Linked DNA regions of Danio rerio. The protein of the gene in region 6 purifies or fractionates together with the protein of the main gene of each other region. This does not show direct contact. Links are inferred from orthologs where the notes say so. Each region holds a gene or a part of one and is shown on either strand. Other genes may lie near its edges. The genes, in order: pfdn1, pfdn5, vbp1, pfdn6, pfdn4 and mapk7.

Evidence for each region.
Region 1: the proteins of mapk7 (region 6) and pfdn1 purify together in Homo sapiens (affinity purification with mass spectrometry; 3 studies listed by BioGRID and IntAct, with this or other methods). This does not show direct contact. The link is inferred for Danio rerio from reciprocal best matches to the Homo sapiens genes MAPK7 and PFDN1.
Region 2: the proteins of mapk7 (region 6) and pfdn5 purify together in Homo sapiens (affinity purification with mass spectrometry; 3 studies listed by BioGRID and IntAct, with this or other methods). This does not show direct contact. The link is inferred for Danio rerio from reciprocal best matches to the Homo sapiens genes MAPK7 and PFDN5.
Region 3: the proteins of mapk7 (region 6) and vbp1 purify together in Homo sapiens (affinity purification with mass spectrometry; 3 studies listed by BioGRID and IntAct, with this or other methods). This does not show direct contact. The link is inferred for Danio rerio from reciprocal best matches to the Homo sapiens genes MAPK7 and VBP1.
Region 4: the proteins of mapk7 (region 6) and pfdn6 purify together in Homo sapiens (affinity purification with mass spectrometry; 3 studies listed by BioGRID and IntAct, with this or other methods). This does not show direct contact. The link is inferred for Danio rerio from reciprocal best matches to the Homo sapiens genes MAPK7 and PFDN6.
Region 5: the proteins of mapk7 (region 6) and pfdn4 purify together in Homo sapiens (affinity purification with mass spectrometry; 3 studies listed by BioGRID and IntAct, with this or other methods). This does not show direct contact. The link is inferred for Danio rerio from reciprocal best matches to the Homo sapiens genes MAPK7 and PFDN4.

The regions. Positions count from the first base shown.
Region 1 is NC_133196.1:32,808,144-32,811,643, forward strand, and holds part of pfdn1 (prefoldin subunit 1), read right to left. Parts: coding exon 3,387-3,500; intron 3,308-3,386; coding exon 3,223-3,307; intron 1-3,222. UniProt on the Homo sapiens protein: Binds specifically to cytosolic chaperonin (c-CPN) and transfers target proteins to it. Binds to nascent polypeptide chain and promotes folding in an environment in which there are many competing pathways for nonnative proteins.
Region 2 is NC_133181.1:42,215,187-42,219,331, reverse strand, and holds the start of pfdn5 (prefoldin subunit 5), read left to right. Parts: upstream 1-1,345; 5' UTR 1,346-1,351; coding exon 1,352-1,417; intron 1,418-2,455; coding exon 2,456-2,558; intron 2,559-2,634; coding exon 2,635-2,666; intron 2,667-2,798; coding exon 2,799-2,873; intron 2,874-2,957; coding exon 2,958-3,063; intron 3,064-4,145. UniProt on the Homo sapiens protein: Binds specifically to cytosolic chaperonin (c-CPN) and transfers target proteins to it. Binds to nascent polypeptide chain and promotes folding in an environment in which there are many competing pathways for nonnative proteins.
Region 3 is NC_133182.1:23,876,034-23,880,132, forward strand, and holds the start of vbp1 (prefoldin subunit 3), read right to left. Parts: upstream 2,801-4,099; 5' UTR 2,777-2,800; coding exon 2,696-2,776; intron 2,433-2,695; coding exon 2,308-2,432; intron 1,881-2,307; coding exon 1,814-1,880; intron 1,086-1,813; coding exon 987-1,085; intron 1-986. UniProt on the Homo sapiens protein: Binds specifically to cytosolic chaperonin (c-CPN) and transfers target proteins to it. Binds to nascent polypeptide chain and promotes folding in an environment in which there are many competing pathways for nonnative proteins.
Region 4 is NC_133189.1:35,060,256-35,064,431, forward strand, and holds the start of pfdn6 (prefoldin subunit 6), read right to left. Parts: upstream 2,801-4,176; 5' UTR 2,765-2,800; coding exon 2,701-2,764; intron 1-2,700. UniProt on the Homo sapiens protein: Binds specifically to cytosolic chaperonin (c-CPN) and transfers target proteins to it. Binds to nascent polypeptide chain and promotes folding in an environment in which there are many competing pathways for nonnative proteins.
Region 5 is NC_133198.1:41,423,389-41,427,634, forward strand, and holds the start of pfdn4 (prefoldin subunit 4), read right to left. Parts: upstream 2,801-4,246; 5' UTR 2,535-2,800; coding exon 2,508-2,534; exon of another isoform or gene 2,504-2,507; intron 545-2,503; coding exon 437-544; intron 362-436; coding exon 221-361; exon of another isoform or gene 1-220. UniProt on the Homo sapiens protein: Binds specifically to cytosolic chaperonin (c-CPN) and transfers target proteins to it. Binds to nascent polypeptide chain and promotes folding in an environment in which there are many competing pathways for nonnative proteins.
Region 6 is NC_133187.1:4,710,395-4,714,475, forward strand, and holds the start of mapk7 (mitogen-activated protein kinase 7), read left to right. Parts: upstream 1-1,281; coding exon 1,282-1,588; intron 1,589-2,130; coding exon 2,131-2,296; intron 2,297-2,372; coding exon 2,373-3,210; coding exon of another isoform or gene 3,211-3,387; coding exon 3,388-3,778; intron 3,779-4,081. UniProt on the Homo sapiens protein: Plays a role in various cellular processes such as proliferation, differentiation and cell survival. The upstream activator of MAPK7 is the MAPK kinase MAP2K5.

The DNA.
Region 1 (3,500 bases), on a different chromosome or scaffold from region 6:
TACATTTTATGCACTTTATACGTTTTCTGAATTTCTGAAGTCCCCACCCCACACTCTTATTTGTCTGACAATCCCATTTCAGGTCTCACTAAAGCCGAGTTTATGATGTAAATTTGGCCATTATTTGGTCATCTGAGTCAAACTTTGGAAAAGATTTCTATAATAGATCTTAGTTAAAATCTGTCACCTTTGATTGCCATTGTTAGAACTTTATGAGTTAGAAAAGTAATGCATTACAGTAACTAAATACTTTTTGCTGTAACAAAGTATAGTGTAAAAGGGGGTCCAGACACTCCACACACCCTCTTTACATTGTATTCTTTAAAAAAAAAAAAAAAAACAAAACATTGTTAAGAAATACAAAAAAGAAAAGAAGGCAAAATTTTGACGCTGATGAGCGTACTCTCATAGATGACAATGTTTACTATTCTAAAAGACGTGGTGTGGAATTTTGCATCCAGTGTGCGATGAGCTTAAATAAATAATCATTTTACAATAATAGGGTGGACTGGTTGTCTCAAAGTTTGCATTGAAAGGGTGGGTATCTAGATGATGACAGCTATAGGACTGGCAAAAGATCCTTTCTGTGATATGATTATCAATAAAGTTGAATTTGTTCTAAATGTTTAGATTATATGATGACCATAGGGTTAAGTAAAATTTTATAAACTAATTTTGACAGGAGCACGTGATATGATTGATCGCGGCTGGTCTCTCGTCCGTAAGCAGCGATAATCTAATCATATCGATCCAAGTCTACAATAAATAGACTGATTTCACCTTACTTGCCCTATCTTTGTTATGGAAGAATCACCCCTTCCGCCCCATCTCCTCCTTTTCCTCTGTTTACCAGGGGGAGCTCTTGAGATCTAACTAATCTTGGACTCCATTTATGCTAAATGACAAGGCAGGAGCCATGCTCAATCATCTCCAAGCTCAGGGTTTTCTCCCAGGATAGGATGCCAAACTTGCAAAAAGCGTCAAGCAATATGAGTATAAACTCTGAAAACTGAAGTAAAACTGGAATGATATGGGTCTCGTTGTTATTTCTGTATGCCAAGTTATGCGTTTTCCTCAGGAACTTCAGGCTCATTCATTACGACCTCTCATATGAAACTGGATTTTGATGAAAACAAAAACCTGTCAAATCTTTTGAGATTCTATTGTATGAGAGAGACTTTCTTTGTATTAGTTAGCTGCCAGTATAAAGATGTTTATTGTACCATTCTGATAAGATACAAGACATCCTTGAAGTCTATAAGCATTCTTTGTGTGTGTGTGTGTGTGTGTGTGTGTGTGTGTGTGTGTGTGTTCTTCATCGGAGGAGACTTCTTTGCTTGTCGCCAAAGTAATCATTGGTGATTTTGTTTAGAATTTTACGCACACATGTTGAGATTGTCTAAGTCTATCTGTGTTCTAACCAATCAGGTTAAACCTCCTATATGTGTGACGCAGCTTGTGATATTACATTAGAGTATAATTGCTGTGATTTTGATACTGCGTGGCGTACAAACTATGTGCTTATTTCCTGCTTTATCAGGGGTCGCCACTGAATGAACTGCAGTTACTCTGGCATTTGTTTTACCTGCCGATGCCCATCCCCAACCCTCAGCGCTGGGAAACACTTACACACTCTCTTATTTACACTCTATGGCCATTTTAGTGTATTCAGTTCACCTATACAGCACGCTTAGGACTGTGGAGGAAACCCAAGCAGACACGGAGAGCACATGCAAACAGAAACACCTTCAGGGCTCGAACCAACAACCATCTTGCTGAGACCACCGTGCCCCCCCCAACCCACAGTTTTATTGTTAAAAGAAAAAAACCTTTTGCATCCACACTAATGCATGATAATGTTCTGTTTATCATTAGCATTTAATTATTTAATGCTTTTCATTAGCATTTTCCTAGCTGATGGATACTAAAAACACTACAATCCATTCAGAATTTTAAGATGATAAAAGAAGGAAAATTCTGGCATCATCTACTCACTTTCAATTTTTTTTTAATCTCTTTTTCTTGATGAACACAAAAGACTAGAAAAACCAGAAGCTTCTATATACTTATATATAAATATATATATATATATATATATATATATATATATATATATATATATATATATATATATATATATATATATATATATATATATATATACTCACCGGCCACTTTAATAGGTACACTTATCCAACTGTTCGTTATCACAAGTTTTTCTAATCAGCCTGCAGCAGTTCAAACCAAGCATCAAAATGGGGACGAAAGGTGATTTAAATTACTTGAACGTGGCATGGTTGTTGGTGCCAGACGTGCTGGTCTGAGTATTTCAGAAACCTAATCTACTGAGCATTCCACAAACAACCATCTCTATTGTTTATAAAGAATGGTCCGAAAAAGAGAAAATATCCAGTGAGCGGCAGTTCTGTGGGCGCAAATGTAGATTAGAAAAATGTTGCCTGGTCTGATGAGTCTCGATTTTCACTGCAACACTTGGATGGTAGGGTCAGAATTTGGCATCAAAAACATAAAAGCATGGATCTATTTTTCCTTGTATCAACAGTTCAGGCTGGTGGTGGTGGTGTAATGTTGTGGGGGATATTTTCTCCGCACACTTTGGGCCCATTAGTACCAATTGAGCATCATGTCAACACCACAGCCTGACCGAGTATTGTTGCTGACCATGTCCATCCCTTTATGACTTCAGTGTACCAATCTTCTGATGGCTACTGCCAGCAGGATAACATGCCATGTCAAATGAATCATCTCAGACTGGTTTCTTGAACATGACAATGAGTTCACTTTACTCAGATGGCCACAGTCCCCCAATCTTAATCCAACAGAGCACCTTTGGTGGCACGGGAAATTGGTATCATGGATAAGCAACCGACAAATCTGCAGCAACTGTATAATGCTATCATGTCAGTATATAAACCAAAACCTCTGAGAAATTTTCCAGTATCTTGTTGAATCTATGCCCTGGAGGATTAAAGCAGTTCTGAAGGCAAAAGGGGTTCCAACCCGATAGTTGTAAGGTGTACCTTATAAAGTGGCCGCCGAGTGTATATCTTATTTAATTATGACTTTCATAGATTTTTTTTAACAGCAAGTAAAAAATGTTAAAATAAGGTGACCTATCCTTTGTATTTTGATAAGCAGTTCTTTGTCGGACAAGTAGATTTAATATAAGCAACTATATTTGTTTTTTTGCTCATAACCTACCTCAAGCTCTTTTATCTTGTCATCTGCCGTCTTCTGCTTTTCCAAAAGCTGATTAGAGATCTCACCTTTTGACTGCAAAATAAACCTGAATAAAGGAAGGAAGAGAAGGTCAAAACAACAGAGAGTAAAGGGTCCAGATTTGAAACCTCCAGAATTATACATACATCCGTCCTGCTCCCTCAAACATCCGAGTGCTTTCAGGAAGTGATGTAATCTCTCCATGCGTGAGATTTGCGTGCTTCTTTACACGACTCAGCTGTTCGATCTGCAGGTCTGCC
Region 2 (4,145 bases), on a different chromosome or scaffold from region 6:
TTAGTAGTTTTGATCGGGACTGAGGTTGATTAACAGATTTATGGGAAAACATATTTATCTGATGCATTTTTACAGCAGTTTAAATTAGTGGAGGTTTTCATCCCAAACATAACAAAAGGGTAGCAAAATTGCCCAGAGTGTATCGTTAAGTTCTTTAAAAATGTCAAAGCATTTTCCAAAAACGTGTCAAAATTAAATTTGTCGCCAAAGTCGTTCTGCTAGTTGAAACAGAAAAAGTTGACCAAATGAAGACACAAAATCACCCCAGAGTGGATGAAAACACCCTCAACAGCACACAGGGGTTAACTGAAATGAGGGATGTGCTAGTAAAGGAGTACACATGGAGGAAAAACATGAATTGGTCATCTGTCACTGCAGACTGATGGATAAACCGACAGGCAACAAGGACTGTAAACACTGAAATCGGTGTTCCCATAAGTCTTCAAAATGTCAGGGACAGCGTTTTCAGAGACGTACAAATATCTGACGTACCTGATCTGATGTGATTCTTATGTGCTGAACGGCCAGGTTTAATGGTGAATCTGAAAAAATGAAATATTAATTTAAACAAGTGTTACGGACTTCCTGTCATGAGTTAGTGTTTCAGATGAGATTTTCTGCTTTTGTAAAATACACACTACTCCTGTTGGAGAAAACTCAGGACAATACCAAACACATAAAGGCAAACACACACATACACACACAAACATTAATGAATGCCCATGAGCTTTATAAGGATTTGAGCTGTGTACATTTTCTTCACTTTTTAACTGGTGTGTATTTTTAGTGTTCAATGTCTACTGAAATACAAACCTATTCTAATACTTAACAATGAGGCTTAAAATAGTTGAAATTTGTGCACCACATGCATTGACAATGAATAGTTTGTTAATTGATTAATAAGGATTTACTCATGTTTACATACTAATCAAATACATTCCCTACTGAAAAATCAGTTGACCAGCCTGGTTTTAGAGGGGTTTTGGCCATTTCCAGGCTAGTTTCCAGCCATTTCCAGCCTGGTCTTAGCTGGTCAGGCTGGAAAATGACCAGCCAAATCCAACTAAAACCAGCTTGCCCAGCCTGGTTTAAGCTGGATATAGCTGGTTTTGGCTGGACTCCCAGCTTGGCTAGGCTGGTCAAGCTGGTTTTAGCTGGTCATCTCCCTTTTTTTTTAAGGTAATGTTAATACATGCTGTATAAATGCACTGTTAGTTTATTTAGTCGACGTTTTATTTGTTAAAGTATAACAAATGACTGTAGTGTGTAATGGAAAAAAATCAATGGTAAAAGTCCTTTTAGTTGCGTCCGCTTGACCCGGAAGTTTTCCTCACCCTCTTTTATTGTCAACATGGCGGTGAATCTCACTGAATTGTCTCTTCCACAATTAGAAGGCTTGAAAACTCAGCTTGATCAGGTAAATTGTGTTAAAAATAAAAAACATCATCGTTTCGTATGTCCGAGTAGCATCAGGTGCTGCTGTTTTTCTGTCAGTGAATTAATTTACTGACGGGCTGCGGTTGTCATGCTGTCTGTGCGCGTGCTGCTGCTGCTGGTAATGCGGAAAAAAAGCCCTCTATGATTGTCCACATGGCTGCATTTATTCCGTATGACAGAAAATGAGATGCAGAATGACTTTATCGACGTTCACTTGCATTGTATGTGAATGGTGTCTCAGTCAGTTCTCACTAAACACAACTTGGTTTTATTTTAACGAGTTCACAGTTTGAAATATATTTTGGTACCAAGTCTATAATCTGTATAAGATTAATTTAAAAGACTAATTTTGTTTTTCTGTGAGTAAACTTTTGAAGTTTACATGTGTCCTGATTATCTGTTTTATTTTGACCGTCATATTTATTTTACTGTATTTTACAGAAGACCCCAACAAAAATGTCATAACAATAGTTTATATATATTAAAAATTCTGGGCAGCCATATTTTTAGACCAAGATTATTTTGATGGCATTTAACTATTTAAAGGTTGAACTGTAGCTCCCAAATTCTAATTATTTTTCTTTTTTTAAACATGCATAATTTGTCACTATCCTTCAAACCCTTTATTTTACTAATTTTTACTTTTAAGGTTTAAAACCTTGACTATTCCAAACCTTGCCGGTTTACCTTGCAAACAGTTATCGCCCCATACCTAGTACAGAATAAGTACTATGTTTTTCCCATTTTTAAATAAATATATATGTTGCTCTGAATTACCCTGACATTATTTCCTAAATTATTATTATTGTTAATTATTTGATAGATTTTCACTCATTTTTTGATTTTATTTTTACAAAAGTTATTTGAAACATTTAAGTTAACACTTTGCTTGCGTTCAGTGTGCTTTCTGTGAATATAAATGCAATAATGTTAATTTACTTTGAGACACCAAAAAGGGACATCTCAAGGTAGATTTACACGTTATTTTGTATAAATTGCTTAAAAATGTGTTTTCTAGGAAACAGAGTTCCTGTCATCGTCTATAGCTCAGCTGAAAGTCGTCCAAACAAAATATGTGGAGGCCAAAGACAGTTTGAATGTGCTTAACAAGAGCAATGAAGGTGACTTTTAAAACTCTTTTATGACGTTTTTAGCTAAATCTGACGTTTGCTAATTTTTTTTTACTTTTTCTCTCAGGTAAAGAACTACTCGTCCCTCTCACCAGTTCTGTATCCTCTAAACAGCTGAGTTATAAATGAGTTCTGATTGATTTATGCCACATAAGAAAGTCACACAGACAGTTTGATGTGTGTGTAATTAATTTGCAGTGGTCCGTTATTCCCTTAACCTCAGTCATGTAGATGTATGTACCTGGAAAGCTGCATGATGTGGATCATGTGTTAGTGGATGTGGGAACAGGTTATTTTGTGGAGAAGGTGAGTAAGAATCAGTCTAGTAGTTTTAGTATATGTAAAAATGTCAAAACTGAGTAAATCACATTGCCTTTTCTGTCTTTTCAGAATGTAGAGGACGGCAAAGAGTTCTTTAAACGCAAAATCGACTTCCTTACTAAACAAATTGAAAAGATTCAGCCTGCTCTTCAAGAAAAATATGCCATGAAACAAGGTGATTTTCTTGTCTTTTGAAAAACATGTTTCTTATGTTCACCATAGCTGATAAAAATACAGTACATTTTTATTGTATTTCTTTTTTCACTATTTTCAAGTAAGCCTGTCACAATAATCAATATAACGACTGAGCGTACAACACATGGACATGACCTCAATCATTTTTGGTGATGCAATATAAATCACACATACATAAAGACCAATTCTGGCAATATTTTAGGTGTTTGTGCAACATCTCTATCTATTGGAGATGTCAGTATGGTTAAAAATCACAATTTTATTTACTATAGATTACTGTCGTATATTTTCATGTGGGTGTCTAACAACTGAAAATAGATCTGGGGTCCGTTCTTCGTACCTCGCTTAAATGATATAAGATGATTTGGCAGATCCTGGATCTTTTCATCTTGATAACTGATCTCTGGCTAATTTGGTTCTTCAAACAAGTTTGCGAATCCGATTAGAATGTCTGGATAAACTGATCTGAGATCGCTGCATGTGTTGTGAAGGACAGATCCATCGATCCTCGAAATCATGATCAGCAATGCAACGATTGGCTGACGGCACAGCAGCGTAATGACATCATCTGAATAATATTCAATTATCCATGTGAGCAAAATTACATCAAACAAGCAGTAAACGGTTTGTTGTGAGCTGCAGGCTTAACACTTTCATGTGTCAAGAGTATTCATTATGTATTTTAAAGCATATCAATGTATTTAGTTCTACATTTAGAGAAGATTTTCTTTATTATAGTAGCTTAGGCCTACTCAAGTTTTTTTTAATTGGAGTAAGGAATAACTGTATGAATTAATTTTCCATCAAAAAAGCATTTTGATAAAGGTGAAGGTGTCTGCAACTTTTGTGAAGCAACATATCACCGGCATATTGGCGATCACAACATGTGCATGACTGCATAAATCAGTATCCTTTTTTTAAAAAAGTTGAATATTGTGCATTTGCATTGTATTTAAAAAGTTCATATCAATACATTTTCTCTTTGAACCACCAGGTGGCAGTCTTTGTACTTATTTCGGAGTGCAGATTGCATAAGTTTTATTTATCTATATATTTCTTAAA
Region 3 (4,099 bases), on a different chromosome or scaffold from region 6:
TTTGTTTGATCCTTTGTTTGAATTTGCTACTTTATTATATTATTTTTATTAGTGTAAATATTTCTCTTTTTTGTATATATTTGGGCATTTTTCTGGTTTCACTTTTGTAGATTAAATCACTTTAGTTGGCAGTTCTGTTGCTTACACCCTCACATTGTGAGGTTTTGTGTAAGTTGTGAAACAGTTACGATAGATAGACGTGTGCTTTGTCTACGACACAAATTCCATTCCAGTACTCCACTGGAAAACCAAAATGTTCCCACACAGATGACTTAAATGTGTCTGGGGGATCTGGAATCTCAGTACTGTGTGAAGCAGCCATCCTGCATACAGTAGTAACTGAGTGTGATGCTTTCTTAAGTCACATCACATGACATGCACTTGGAAAATACTAACTTAAGAATATAATATTTAAAACAAAAGCTCATCATTACTAAAACAATTTAATCAAATGTGATAAATATGTTTAAATTGGTTCAATTAGTTAGAGACAAGTGATGTCAACCTCAACAATGGGCAGCAGGGGGCATAAGAATATCGCGGTATGCCACGAGTTTCAAGATACGTATCGTGGTTGGTGTATTGTGATATTTCGGGTCGGTTTTAATATCGTTACATCCCTACTGACAATATCTGGAATAAACATTATAAAATTCTAGTAATTTTAAGACATGTGGGAACCCGGTACGCTACAAGTGATGAAGAGGTTTCATGAGTTCATAAGCAGTACAAAAGAGCAAAACAAAGGCAATGATCGTCAACACTTTCACACATGCTTTTTAAAGCAGTTGTTTTAGTCAACACAACAAGGATTTCACAGCTCATAATGTAATGCAGTGACACAGGGTAGTAAAAAAACAAAAATCAGTACCACACTTGGTCTTATAATAAACCATTAAATTAAAAGATAATTATCTTGATAGATAATAATTATTTTGATTTCATGCTCACATCAAATGCATCAGGACTCAACATTCAACACTTACCCCAAGCCACAAGCACACTTTATCTGTAGGTGGAACAGAGGCCTTGCAGTAGACGTTATCAGCCAACAGAAAATGTGTCTCCATGGGATCTGTGGTGTCCTTTGATTTGATATGCATAAATAAAAATAAATAAAGAGGAATTCTGGTGAAGCAGAACAATACACTTGCTGCATCTCAAAAATTTATCATTTAAAATGTAATTTTAGGGCGAATTTCATAACTATCTTACTGTATTGTAATAATTTGTTTTTGATTATAATATTAAAAAACCTCTGTTAATATTATAATATTAAAAAACAAAATCACCTTAATTATGCTTATATGATTTATTGTATTAAGATCATTTGTTTACAAAGATGAAAAATAAAATATTGAAATGTTCATTTTTCCCCTCAATTACACAGCCCTAGAAGCAAAAGAGCACAAAAAGATCTATAACATGTATAGAGAAAAAGACTGACTTTAAATGACAGGCTGATTGACAGGCCAGTTTATGATGAATAGACACATTTATGTGTATGTTAAAGACACAATTATGACACGTGATCTAATATGTGACTGCTCTTCTGCAACACACTACAAAAAAAATATTTATATACATTTATTAAAAAAAGTATATATATAAATATATATATATATATATATATATATATATATATATATATATATACTTCTCACAAGGAGTACATGAAAGAAATCCTAAAAGCAGTAAATAACTTTGAGAAATCATTTTAAGTAATTTTAGACTGAACTTTGATTTGTTTCTGTGAAGCAATTTTGAGACAAATTTTCTTTTTAAATCACCATTAATTAAGAAATGAGCTTACCTTCTTTTTCTGCATGTGCCGTAGGATTTCTAATGTCTGTTTGATTTGTGGAATTTGGCTTTTCAACCTGAAACAGAGGGAAAAAATGTCAACAATTATAGTCTGCAAAAACAACTTGTAGCCACATATACGCATGCTATCCAGAGCACTTTACAGTAAGGTTTTATTAGTTAATGCATATACTAACATAAACAAACAATGAAACATACATTTATGACAGTATTAGATGTTCGTTAACAGTAGTTCATGAAAATACAGTTGTTCATTGTTAGTTCATGTTAACTCACGATACATTAACTAATATTAAGCATAAATTTGGATGTTATTGATGCATTAGTACATTTATGTAGAACTATGATCAATAAATGCTGTGCAAGTGTTGTTAATCATTGGTTGTGTCAGTAAATACATTACCCAATGAAATCTTATTGTAATTTGTGACTGAAAGATTGACTTCTTTTTACAGCACAACGTAGAACAGATCAAAACCAAACCTGAGTTTCTTCTGCCCCAGATTGAGCTCCATGTATTTATATTTCTGATATTGTTCATCCAGCTTCCTCAGCACGGCGTCTGCTGTGTCATTGCCCGGCTGCTTCATGAAGGCGTCCACATCTTCCTACAGAACACACAATGTGTTTCACATCTGGTTAATTAAGGCTTATAATTAACAAAGCGGTTTTTGAGAGCCAGTTATTCACATGTTCTCTGTCACTCAAAGCTCACATTCAAGACATGAGCAAGCAATCCCTGCACCCTTATAAGGAGAAGAACAAGGCGCTTTCTTACTTAAAGCCGTTTAAAGACGAACAAACCAACACAGACAGAAACATGTCGACAGCATGGACATGAAAATTAACTATATATCCCTTTCGCACTGACCACAAATATTGCTTCAGGGATTCCGAGGTGTTTTTTCTTATTTGCAGCTCCTGCATTGCCACTTTCTATGGTCGTCGCCATTTTGGAGAGACTTACGACTCTTCCTCTTTGACGCACGCGCACGCTGTTCTTACGCACGGGCGCCGCGTGCATAATAAAAGTGACTTTCTTCTTCTTATAACAATGAGCAGGTGATGATTTCATCTGGCCATTTTGTCATTAATTTCTTTTTATATCATATTTAAATTCAAATGTAGTCCATCTGTCTTTGTTAACGTATGTTTTTTAATAATATCCGACATTTATCAAACCGACCGGCAGATGTCAGTGTTGCCTGATTGACATGAGAAATAGCACGAGGCGCTGGCCGTGACGACAGCAGTTGGTGGCAAGCCAGAGGTTTGATCCAATACATTTGCGGTGATATGAAAAAACAGATAAATACATTGGCTCTTAGTCTTCAGTTTGATTTTTCATAATATTATTATTGAGTCTGTCTGTTCTGCTTACTAATGTTACTGTCAGCTTCAGTACAGGCTTTCTTTGTCTGCATGTGGATCTTTAGGTGAAAGTAAGTAGCAGGGCAAGAATAGCACCTTATTAGATGTGTTTTATTAAATAGGCCTATATATGCACTTATATCACACATACAGTGTCACATTATAATTCATATTTAAAAATGATTGTAAATAAAAGCAGAAGAGAAACAAATATAAAACAGATTAAGGCAAGGGCGACACGGTGGCTCAGTGGTTAGCACTGTTGTCTAAGAGCAAGAAGGTCACTGGTTCGAAATTCCGGCTGGGATTTCTGTGTGGAGTTTGCATGTTCTGCCTGTGTTTGTGTGGGTTTCCTCCGGGTGCTCCGGTTTCCCCCAAACAGTCCAAAGACATGTGCTAAGTGAATTGAATAAACTAAATTGGCCGTAGTGTATGTGTGTGAATGAATGTGTATGGATGTTTCCCAGTTGCCTACTGGGTTGCAGCTGGAAGGGCATCCGCTGTGTGAATTATATGCTGGATAAGTTGGCTGTTCATTCTGCTGTGGTGACCACTGATGGATTTAAGGACTAAGCTAAGAAAATTAGTCAGTGAATGAATGAGCCTAAGTCAAAAATGCAGTATATTTAGGGTAAATTGCATTAAAGAATGTGGAAACTAGCCAAAATACATGCAGATTAATTAAACAGAAGCACATTCCACCCTCTTTAGAATAGAGGGTGAAACCAGCTTATTTTAAAAAGATAATAATTCATATTTTTATTGGTAATTTTCAGTTTCTTACAGTAAAACAAAATATGTGAATACTGAAATGTGCAGCATATACTTTGGTTTGTGTTTATGTGTGTGTGTGTGTGTGTGTGTTATTTTTTTAAAAAACAAGTCAAAAGAATACTCCAATGTT
Region 4 (4,176 bases), on a different chromosome or scaffold from region 6:
TCATTTTTACACTATATCTCACACTTTTTGGATAATGTTTTCTGAAAAATATGAATACATGATATGTCTGTTATTTTAAAAAGAAATCAAACACATTAAAGTGAAAGTTTACACAAGTACAATACACTGGTCTGTTTTATAATATGTAGTAATATTATAATTTTGCCTTTCATTAAATATTTTAATTTTAAAATATTTGAGCAATCATGAGACATTAAAATCAAAGCAATTACATATTTTCTATTATCAATAAAATCTATTTTTAATTTAAAATCTAAAGCTTATAATAAGCTACAGTATTATCATTACTGGGCAGCATGGTGGCGCAGTGGGCAGCGCAGTCGCCTCACAGCAAGAAAGTCGCTGATTCAAGCCTCGGCTGGGTCAGTAGGTGAACTGGGTGAGCTAAATTGTTTGTAATGTATGTGTGTGAATGATTGTGTATAGTTTACTAGTGATGGGTTACAGATAGAAGGGCATTCGCTGTGTAAAACGTGCTGGATAAGTTAGCGGTTCATTCCGCTATGGCAACCCCAAATTAATAAAGGGACTAAGCCGAAAAAAATGATGAATGATTTATCATTACTGAAAGTTTTAAAGGTTGATATTGTTTTTATTTCATTCATTTTCTTGTGGGCTTAGTCCCTTTATTCATCCAGGGTCGCCACAGCGGAATGAACCGCCAACTTACCCAGCAAGTTTTTACGCAGCAGATGCCCTTCCAGCCGCAACCCATCTCGGGGAAATGTTTATATTTAATGTTATTTTATTTATATATATTTAATATATATATATATATATATATATATATATATATATATATATATATATATATATATATATATATATATTATCACTAAATTAAATAAAAACAACATCAACATCAACATCAAAGTATGTTGTATACTGTAAACTCGCAGACTTTTTTCGTCACATCCATAACACATGTTTATTTATTTATTTAAAATGTATTTAATTTTTTAAAAATTTACAGATTGATTTTTTCTGCTCCCATGACTCTGTGGTTGGTAGCTTCTCTGGGAATTCATGTTTTGAAATGTGTGTATATGTATGTATATGTATGTATGTATGTATGCATGCATGCATGCATGCATGCATGCATGTATGTATATATATATATATATATATATATATATATATATATATATATATATATATATATATATATACATACACACACACATACATACATACATATATACATACATACATATATACATACATACATATATATATGCATTATTTGGTATATGTTTTTTGAACAATCATGATTTATAAAATCTCAAATTAATTATATTTATTCTAATTTAGTTAAAACTTTTTATTTATTCAAAGATATGTTGCAGGAAATGTGCAAGTGTACACTGGTATAACTTGGCTATATGAATATTCATAATGGTGTTACTATAAATACCAAGAAACTTACACAATGAATCATAAAATAAAATAAAATAGTAAAAGCCTTTTTAAAACGTTCAATAATGAGAATTTGTAGATTGAATGTGGATTTTGTCTAAAATAGCTCTGGGTAGCTAAATCAAGTCCAAATACAACATAACCGTGACATTTGTACTTTATCAGTGCATTGCACTACATAGATATTAAACCTGAATACAACAAATTACTACAAATACGTTAAATATAAATTATTAAAGGAGCACACACATACATATATACACACACATACATACATACATATATACATACATACATATATATATGCATTATTTGGTATATGTTTTTTGAACAATCATGATTTATAAAATCTCAAATTAATTATATTTATTCTAATTTAGTTAAAACTTTTTATTTATTCAAAGATATGTTGCAGGAAATGTGCAAGTGTACACTGGTATAACTTGGCTATATGAATATTCATAATGGTGTTACTATAAATACCAAGAAACTTACACAATGAATCATAAAATAAAATAAAATAGTAAAAGCCTTTTTAAAACGTTCAATAATGAGAATTTGTAGATTGAATGTGGATTTTGTCTAAAATAGCTCTGGGTAGCTAAATCAAGTCCAAATACAACATAACCGTGACATTTGTACTTTATCAGTGCATTGCACTACATAGATATTAAACCTGAATACAACAAATTACTACAAATACGTTAAATATAAATTATTAAAGGAGCCGAACATAAAGATGATTGAGGTAAAGTTGGTTTTATATTCGCACATTCGTTCAGTGAAAACTTGTGACATCCCTACATTGTTTACCATGGTGATTTTGATAGTCAATGGCTGCTAATATGATTTTACCATTTAGAATTGACAAAAATACTTTAATAAGATTTTTAGAGAGAAAGCCAATTTACACAATGAGGTAAAGTTGGTTTTATATTTACACATTCAGACTTTCTCCTATTAAAAATTCCGAAAAGTATTCTGTAGTTAGCAAATCCTAAATAGTGAAACCATATTAGCAGACGATGGCTATCAAATTACACCATTATTCAGTCAAATAAATAGTGATAACGTTAATGTAGTCTTATTTACATGTGATTTCAGACCGAATATTCAAAGTACCATGGTAAACAATATAGGGAGCATGCCACACATTGTCACTGAACGAATGTGCGAATATAAAACCAACTTTGCCTCAATATAAAGATGCCCATGCAGGGAGTGTTGGATTGCTAACTCTGAGCTTTTCGTGCTGTAAGTTACCTTTCTGGAGTTGTTGATATTTCTCCAACTCAGCTTGCAATTTCTTCTGAATCGCTTCAGCCATCACACCTGCTATTCCAATGTCTGACTTATTATTATTGCTAAATAATAAAAATCACGATATTTTATGACAAATGCAGACAGTCAGCAGCACACTACTCAAGCACACAGTCTGAGGCGCACGGGAAATGACGTCATATCATTGCGTCACATGGGGGTTTTACGATAGCTGATAAAAAGAGTTACTTCGCCATCTAGTGTTTAAGAAAAACATACACAATTTTTTTCAGTATTATGTTTATTCACACACCTTTAAATAATTTGCTCTATAATTTTACGCACCATATGTAGATTTAACGCATCAGTTAATGTGATTTTTGGATTAATACGATGGGTACAATTTTTCCAGTATCTAAAAGCGTAGTGCCTCTCCTGTCCATGTGGTGTCAGTCTATCCTCTTCCTCCAAGCCCTCTGTAGTGACAGTCAAGGCAATATGGCAGCGCGCATGGTTCAAATTCTAACGTGAAGGTCTTTTTTCGGGTGTGCGCGACCACATAGAATCACAACAGCAGGTAAAGTCAGTTATATATTTTTTCTATAACACAAGCAAATGTAATGACTGTTCTAAATCTGCACCTTAAGCAGCGTTTTAAACATATGTAGGGTAAAATAGTATCATGTGCTATATTCATCTATTACGAGAATGAACCATGGTTTAAAGAGTTAAGTGTAATCATACTTTTTTTGTCGTATCGATTGTTATTTATAACCACAGTATTACTGAAAGTACTACAGTTTAGCTGGGGTTAGTGTAACAAAACCATGTTGATTTGAGGTTACCATGGTTAGTTTTTGTGGTAAAACCATGGTTAATTTTCGTAATAGATGTCATGATGTTTTAACTTTATCGATATTTGCTAGTAACGTTATTCTTCTTCTTGTGATTCTTCAAAACTTTTTTTATTTTTTTCAATAAAAAAATCAAATTTTCTAAGATGACAAACAAACAAACAACCATTAACCACCATTTAACCATAGTATCTGTGGTAAACCTGTAACGTTAGTTACACTAATAATATGTCTGTCAAAACACGCGCACACACACACTTCCCTTGGTTCAATTTCATAAGGGCAGGAATGAAATAATAGAATAAAACATAAATAATTCATAAATTCTATTGTTTTGTCAGGCAGTCATTTTGAGTGTGGCTATTTTTGCTTTTTTCTATAATGAACCTGATATCTTTGCTGTGAGTTGAATGTGTATTATGAAATGTGTTCATGGTTTTAGAGTTATGACAGAGGTTGTCACTTTGTAAAATTCATATAAAACATTTGTATGATGATTAGTCCTCTGAACCTGCAATTTTAGTTGAAGAAATCACTTTTTTTGGACACTTTAATCTCAGTTGTTTTGATTATGCTTGTTACTTGTGGGAGCGACACAGTAGTTTGTGTCGACACACCAATGTTT
Region 5 (4,246 bases), on a different chromosome or scaffold from region 6:
TGTCCACTTATAATCGTACTAACGCATTTTAACGAATGTAAACAAAGCGCCTGTGTTTAAACCTAACAATTTATTGTAACTTTTTTGACCTAGATTTGCAACTTTTTTTTTCAAGTCAAAAGCGTTTTAAATTTTTGTAATGGCCCACAATGACATTCCACAGTTTTTCCTGTATATTGTATTGAGTGCCCTATAAAGTGTGTAAAAAAAATAAAGTCACCTTTGCTGCCTCCAGCATCTCCTGCGTCTCTTCTTGCGAGTGACTGATAAACACGTCTCCAATCTGATACGGGATCAGCATCGAATCATCCTCACACATCATGAGGTCATCACTGGCATCCTCTAAGTTCTGTAAAGATTTCTACGCACAATAAAGATTATGCGTCAGTAAAATGCAGCTTATATCCTGTATAAATCAAAAGCATCACAATATTACCTTTTTGGCCTCGATTTCATCTTTCAGTTCAGACATCCGATTTGTGTTCCTGGCAAACTTGTTTATCTTTTGCTGGTCCTCAAATGTTACATTGACATCCTCTGCTGCCTGTTCAGAATCAGAATCAGAGCTTTATTGCCAGGTATGTTCATACATGCGAGGAGTTTATTTTCGTGACAGAAGCTTTTACAGTGCAACAGAATGAGAGAGACAGGACAAAAAACAGATAATAAATATATTTTAAAAATAGAAGTAAACTCAAGTTATGATTCAAGCAGTAGTTTTGATTAAACATTGTGCATTACTTATTATGGTTTGATTTAATTTAAATTAATTCTGGTGTTATTGCATGATGACGTAGTAAAATCTCTGTTAAATGTCAATGTACGATCTTTGGCCCCACATATTACCCAGTGTGCAAGAAGTCTCGGTGTTATGTTTGATGAAAATTTTAAATTAAAGAAAATTTAAGAATTAAAAAGAGATCAGTCCTGTCGTAAAAACCTGATTTTACCACCTTAACAACTGTCTAAAATGAAGCCATTATTATCTCAGAGAAATTTTCAAACAATGATCCATGCCTTCATAACACTGGATTACTGTAACTCACTCTATTTTGGTATTTCTCAGTCTTCTCTCTCTTGTCTGCAGCTGGTACAAAATGCAGCTGCTAGACTAATCTCTGGCACCCGCAAGTATGAGTCGGTAACTCCGATTTTAGCTGCACTTCACTAGTTACCCATTAAATACAGAATTGATTTTAAAATTTTATTATTTGTTTACAAAGCTGTCAATAGTCTTGCTCCTCAGTACCTTACAGACTTGCTCCATCCGTATACCTCCTCTCGATCATTGAGATCTTATGATCTCAATTAACTTACGTAACCAGAACATGCCTTAAAAAACAAGGTGATTGAACATTTGCAGTTGCTGGTTCTAAACTCTGGAACACCCCACCAATTCACATTAGACTTTCCCCCTCTATTTCTGTGTTTAAGTCTGTTTTGAACACCTATTTTCTCTCGCTTTAATACTCCTTGATCAATGTTTTATTGTTTTATTTTCTAAATGCTTCTTTTATATTCTGATTTCGTCTCTGTGTTTAGTACTCCTATGTACAGCCCTTGGGTCCACCTTGGTTGTTTTTAAATGTGCTTTATAAAGATGCGAACATTAAAAATGACAGGATACTCAAAAATGCTTTTCAAAAATGTAGTTGCTATGTTAACCAACACAGGCATCAGAAATCTTCATTTAAATAGGAATTCATGTCATTGTTTTGACTCCTTTACACATTTTTATAAGCGTTTCACAAGCTCTCAAATTATGAAGTTACCATCACATGGACACACACAAACACTCAGCATTGTTTTGGATGTTCGGTAAGCTCTGTCAAAAAATATGCCTTGCTAAATATGCATATTATTTGCATTTCTTTGTATCTTTAGATTTACTTTTAAAATTTTACAATATAAATGCTAAGCAAATCATAAATCTTTGATTTGAATCCTGTCATCTTGACTCTTTGTGGTTTAGACTCGATGTGATTTACACAAATATAAGTTTGCTTAGCATTTTATACATTTAAAAAAAGCTTTTTTATGTAAACTAAACTCTATATAAAAGAACAAAATAAACAACCCAATATACAAGTTGTTAATCTGGTCAATCTATAAGAAATATTTAAGAATGACAATACAATTATGTGATTTAAAACCACCTAAATTTAAATGTAGATAGATAGATAGATAGATAGATAGATAGATAGATAGATAGATAGATAGATAGATAGATAGATAGATAGATAGATAGATAGATAGATAGATAGATTGGTGCAGAACGATGAACGTAAATGTAAATAATTACAATAAAACTCATTAACAGACAGGCACGAATAATATGACGTTAGCCATCCAAGCCGGTGAAAATAAACAATAAACCGTCCTCAGTTTCCCTCAGCTGTCTCTTTCGTTTAATATTTTAGATATTTCAGCATCACCAACGCGTTTCTCAGGGATGAGCAACAAAACAACGTGAATGTAGACAGAAAGCCGATAATGGGAACACATACCACTCCTTTCTTCATGGTGGCTGCCATCTTGAACGGGAAGCGAGCTGCGTGCACGCGCCTGAACGGCGTCTGAATGGAGCACGTGGATGTTTGAGTGTTTGTTGCGTGTTTCGGTTGCTGCTTCGAAAATATGGTACGTTTGACAAAGAAATTATGAAGTTTTATGTTTGAATCTAAATTACTGGCTTAACTAAATGCGTTTTGAAGTCGGTTTTCTTAAAATTATCCGCTGTTGCAAGGATTTTGGGCTGCAGCCATACAGACTTGAGGATTTTAGTTAGCAACACTTACTGACATCTTCTGGACAACCGTAGATTTACTCCCACACAAACATACTTTTGATGATTTAAATGTCGAATTCGCATGTTATATCATATATATGGGTGTTTACATTGGAAATGGAAGTGTAAAATGCGTTTTTTCCTTATTTTGTTTCGTTTTCTATTAAATATATAATATTAACATTAAAGTATGTTTAATATAGATAACGTTAGCTGTTTACTTAAGAAACAACGTTGTCTTGGCAATAAGTCTTTGAGAAGCTTTTCTTGGAAGAAAAATCTAAATGAAGCGAGTTTTTAGTTAAAAGCAAAAATAACTAATAGTTGTCTCTAAAGCAATGGATGGCCAAACTTTTCGTATAAAGGGCCAAAAATCAAATACCGTCACGCGCCATGAATATGTATGAACAAATATACCAAACTATATTACATTTAAATTGACTTGGATAATTAATTTCCTAATTCATTTTATAATATTTTAAAATAAATAGAAAACATCACTTTAAATCCTATTAACTAATGCAGAATAACATTTTAATTGATAATTTATTGCAATAAAAATTAACAATCTCTTTAGAAGTTCAATGCTGAATACTCTAGTCACTAGTCTTTGACTTGATTTGCTCACCTAAGTCTCTACATTATCAGATGACAATGTGTACATTTAAACAAAATCTGATTTAATTTACACAATTTAATTGAAACACTTAATTTCAATTAGCTTTTAACAATAAAAACTAGCAAAGGGCTACATTAAATTTAAACTGACAACCTCAAAACCATCCCCATCATTCTCCATCTCTTCTCAGATGGGATGACGGGACAAATCAAAGCTTAACATGTTCTAACTTTGGCCCACATTCCCTAGTTTTTGCATCTCTGCTATAAAGTAAATAATTATCCTAATTCTTATTTGAAATAACTATAATTTTAAAGGCTAGGTTATTTTTTGAAACTTAAACTCACAAAATTTTTAAACAGTACACGGCCAACTTAATAACAAACTATGCAATTGAGGAATATTTAATAGCCTATTTATAAAGGAATTATGAGAAATCATGGGTTGAATTAAAATGTACTTTTTTGTCCCTTTATATCTAGATTTATCCATGTCTAAGAACAAATAAATTTTTATACAGTTGAGATCAGAATTATTAGCCCCCCTTTGATTTTTTTTTATTTTTATTTTTTTTTTATTTTCCAAATGATGTTTAACAGAGCAAAGAAATTTTCACAGTATGTCTGATAATATTTTTTCTTCTGGAGAAAGTCTTATTTGTTTTATTTTGACTAGAATAAAAGCAGTTTTAAGTTTTTAAGCACCATTTTAAGGATACAATTATTATCCCCTTTTGGTTATTTTTTCCGATAGTCTACACAGAACAAACCATCATTTTACAATAGCCTAGCCATCATTTGCCTAATTGCCCTAGCCTGCTTAGTTAACCTAATTAACCT
Region 6 (4,081 bases):
AAAAAAAACATTTATAATAGTTTGGAGCAGTAAACGTGTCAGGCTGAATAATTTAAATGAGTCATTGACTTTTGCTGTCTTCATTAGTTTATATAACTCAGATTTCTTACCAATTTAAAACAGCATCTTTGGGGATTTTTCTGCTAATAATGCTGTTGTCCTAAAAAAAAAAGAAAAAACGTGAAAAAAAGACATAAATAAAAAAATCTGTATAGCAAAAATATTGGCAATTTTAAAACCTTGAGTTTTCCAAACCGCAGTATACCTTGACAATGATTATCATCCCATGCCTAATTTAGACCTATACTTAACAAACACTTGAGATATTTATCTTACTTTTCCATGCATATACAGTACAGTTTAGGCATGAACCGGTATACGATTCTGACTGTATAATAACCTTCGAAAAAGTTATCGCAGTCTCATGGTTTGGCATGGGTTGATATAAGATTCTGACAGTATAATAATAATCTTCATTAAAAATATCGCAGTTGTACCATTAGGCATGGTCCGGTGGAAAATTGTGACGGTATGATCAAGGTTACACAGTTGCACGGTAAAGTGATTACTGCTCTAAAATATGTTCTTTTTAAATATCTGGGTAAAAAAAACAATAACTTTTTCCCCCATTGAACACAATAAATTTTTTTTAAAAAAAAAACATTTTAAATATTTTGGAAGAGTAGCTTTTGATGTGGAGGGTCCTTTTCTGCTGGAGATACTGTTGCACTAAAAAAACTAAATAGAATTCTTGCAAAAAAACAAACAATAAAAAAAAGACTATTTTTTTTAAGACCATAGGATCGGTATAACAGAAAATTCTGGTGATTTAAAAACTTGACTTTTCTAAACTGTGGTAATGCTTGAAACTGGTTATCATTCCATGCATATTCACGGCATTTTGATTACTGCTCTAAAATATGTTCTTTTTAAATGTCTGGGTAAGAACTAATTTTGTCCCCTATTGAACACAATATGTTTTACTTTAAAAAAGATTTAAAATATTTTGAAACAGTAAACGTGTCAGGCTTAATAATTAAAATAAATCATTGACTTTTTTTCAATTGAACAAGGTGGAGGCGTTGGCATAATATATAGCTATATTTTTAGTCACTCAGCTTCAAATATAATTCATTTGAAGTAATAGTGTTTTATAACTCAGTGTTCATCAATAAAGTAATTATTTCAAAGCTGTATGATGATTTTTTACAAGCACTGTATACGTGTTTTTAATGTCTCTTCCCTCATGCCAGTCACAACTTACTTTTCTTTTATTTCAGGATGGCATCCAATAAGATGGATGAGACAAATAACAGTCACACAGCAGGAGAAGCCTCAGAAGGCGACAGCAGGAGAGAGAGCAACATTGAAAAGGTCCAGCAAAGAGGCGTTACAGAAGGACCAGCTCAACCCAGCAATGATACGTCCACAGTTACTGATGACACTACTGTCGCAGACAAGAACTTGGCCCTGCTCAAAGCCCACTCCCTGGATGTGAAGTTTGAAGTCGGGGATGAATATGACATTATTGAGACCATTGGTACAGGTGCATATGGTGTGGTCTCATCAGCACGAAGACGGGATAATGGTGAGTGTGCCAAGATACTTCCACAATATTATTATTATTATTTTTATTATTATTATTATCACCATCTTCAATGTATTTAGTATTCAGTATTATTGAAAGATGAAACATTTGCAGTCTATTAAAAAGTATATGTACAGTAGTCAGCATAATGGAGTACACCCCATTTTAAAAATAAGTATTTTTATCCATTTCTGTGTGAATATAGGCAATGTATTTTGGTGCATTTAAACAAAACAGATATATATATATATATATATATATATATATATATATATATATATATATATATATATATATATATATATAATATATATATATATATATATATATATATATATATTTTTTTTTTTAATAAGATTTTCACCAAACACATTTAGAAGTTGAAAGATATTACAATTAAATTGAAGCAAAATTTTCCAAAAAAAAAAAAAAAAATAACCATCAATAGGAATAAAAAAGTAGTTGTGAGTTCTTAAAGTTGTAAAGTTTGATTTCTTTATGCTTGATTCCTAATTCAAACACATTATTGTTCATGCATTCAGGCCAGCAGGTGGCAATAAAGAAGATCCCCAATGCCTTTGAGGTTGTGACGAATGCCAAACGCACGCTGCGAGAGCTCAAAATACTGAAGCACTTCAAACACGACAACATCATCGCCATTAAAGATATTCTCCAGCCCGTGGTCCCTCATTCAGCGTTCAAATCAGTGTAAGTTTGCTACCAAGTAGCATGCATGTACTCTATACAAGTTGTCCATGCAGTAATACCATCTCTTGTTCCTTAGGTACGTGGTTCTTGACCTCATGGAGAGCGACCTACATCAGATCATTCACTCGCGGCAGCCTTTGACTCCAGAACACACACGCTACTTTCTATATCAGCTGTTAAGAGGCTTGAAATACATTCATTCAGCCAACGTCATTCACCGCGACCTCAAGCCATCCAACCTGCTGGTCAATGAAAACTGCGAGCTAAAGATCGGGGACTTCGGAATGGCACGGGGATTAAGTGCGGTCTACTCTGAAGAGTCGCGGTCCTTTATGACCGAGTACGTGGCCACCCGCTGGTATCGTGCTCCTGAGCTCATGCTGTCGCTCCACCACTACAGCCTGGCCATCGACCTCTGGTCCGTAGGCTGCATCTTCGGTGAGATGCTCGGTAGGAGGCAGATGTTTCCGGGGAAAAACTACGTGCATCAGTTGCAGCTGATTCTTTCAGTTTTAGGGACGCCACCCGAAAGCATTGTTGGCTCAATTGGGTCAGATAGGGTGCGCTCTTATGTGCGGAGCCTTCCATCCAAAGCACCAGAACCGCTTGCAGCCCTGTATCCACAAGCTGAGCCCAGCGCCTTGAACTTGTTGGCTGCAATGCTCCGCTTTGACCCTCGTGAAAGAATCAGTGCATGTCAAGCACTGGAACACCCGTATCTCTCCAAGTACCACGACCCAGATGACGAACCGGTGTGCGTGCCTGCTTTCAATTTTGAGTTCGACCGGCAGCCCATGGGCAAAGAGCAAATCAAAGAAGCGATACTAACAGAGATCCAGGACTTTCATAAGAAAAAGCAGGGCGTGAGGAAGAAGATCCAGTTTAAGCCGCTCCATTCTTCTGGATCGGCCTTGGTCGGTGTTTCTAGTAACAGCCATTGCACAGCGCAACAGTCTCAACACCTGAAGGAGATGTCACAAACTCACCAGCAGCACAGTCTCAACTTCAAACCAGCAGACACTACTCAAATGAATGTAAACTCGTTTCAAACTCCACATCTTATTGGTCAAATTTTGCCACATTTGGAACAGTCGGTAAGCTGTCAGGATGTGGACATGCCCAGTGCGAACTCTGACGGCCAGCCGGAAACCATTGATCTGACCACTCCCACAGACAAGGACACGTCTTTTACTGAGCCTGCGATAGACTGCAGGAAGGATAAGAGTGTGTTATCCAATTACACTGCTCCATCTCGATCCGTCTCTCAGACTCCACCCACAAGTCTTCCACAGTCAGTCCCTTCACTCTCTCTCTCACAGTCCCAGGTGCAGTCGCTCTCTCAAAATCTCTCTCGTTCGCTTGGAAAAGGAGGAAAACCGACTGCTGCGGAAGGTACGAAAAAAGAGGGAGCAATATCTGAAGACACAAAAGCAGCTCTCAAAGCTGCCTTGCAGAAATCTGCGCTAAGACAGAAGGCACGAGGTAAGTGTGTATGTGGCCAGTCTTCAAAAATTAAACTATTAAAGCTGATTTATACTTCTGTGTCAAGTGATTGGCGTGACCCACGGCACCTGCCTTGTGCGTAGTCGTGCCTTTATACTTCTGCGTGCTGTTTGTGTTGCTCTGCTATAACACTTCTGAAACACTAGCTGGACGCTACCTTAATGTACAAGTAGGTAAAACTAGCTTATTCAGAGGTGGAAACCGGCGGGCGTGAAACAACTTTAATCATAAGGTAAACACAAAACAATAGTTTCCATCTAGAGCAGGGGTCACTCGCCTTGT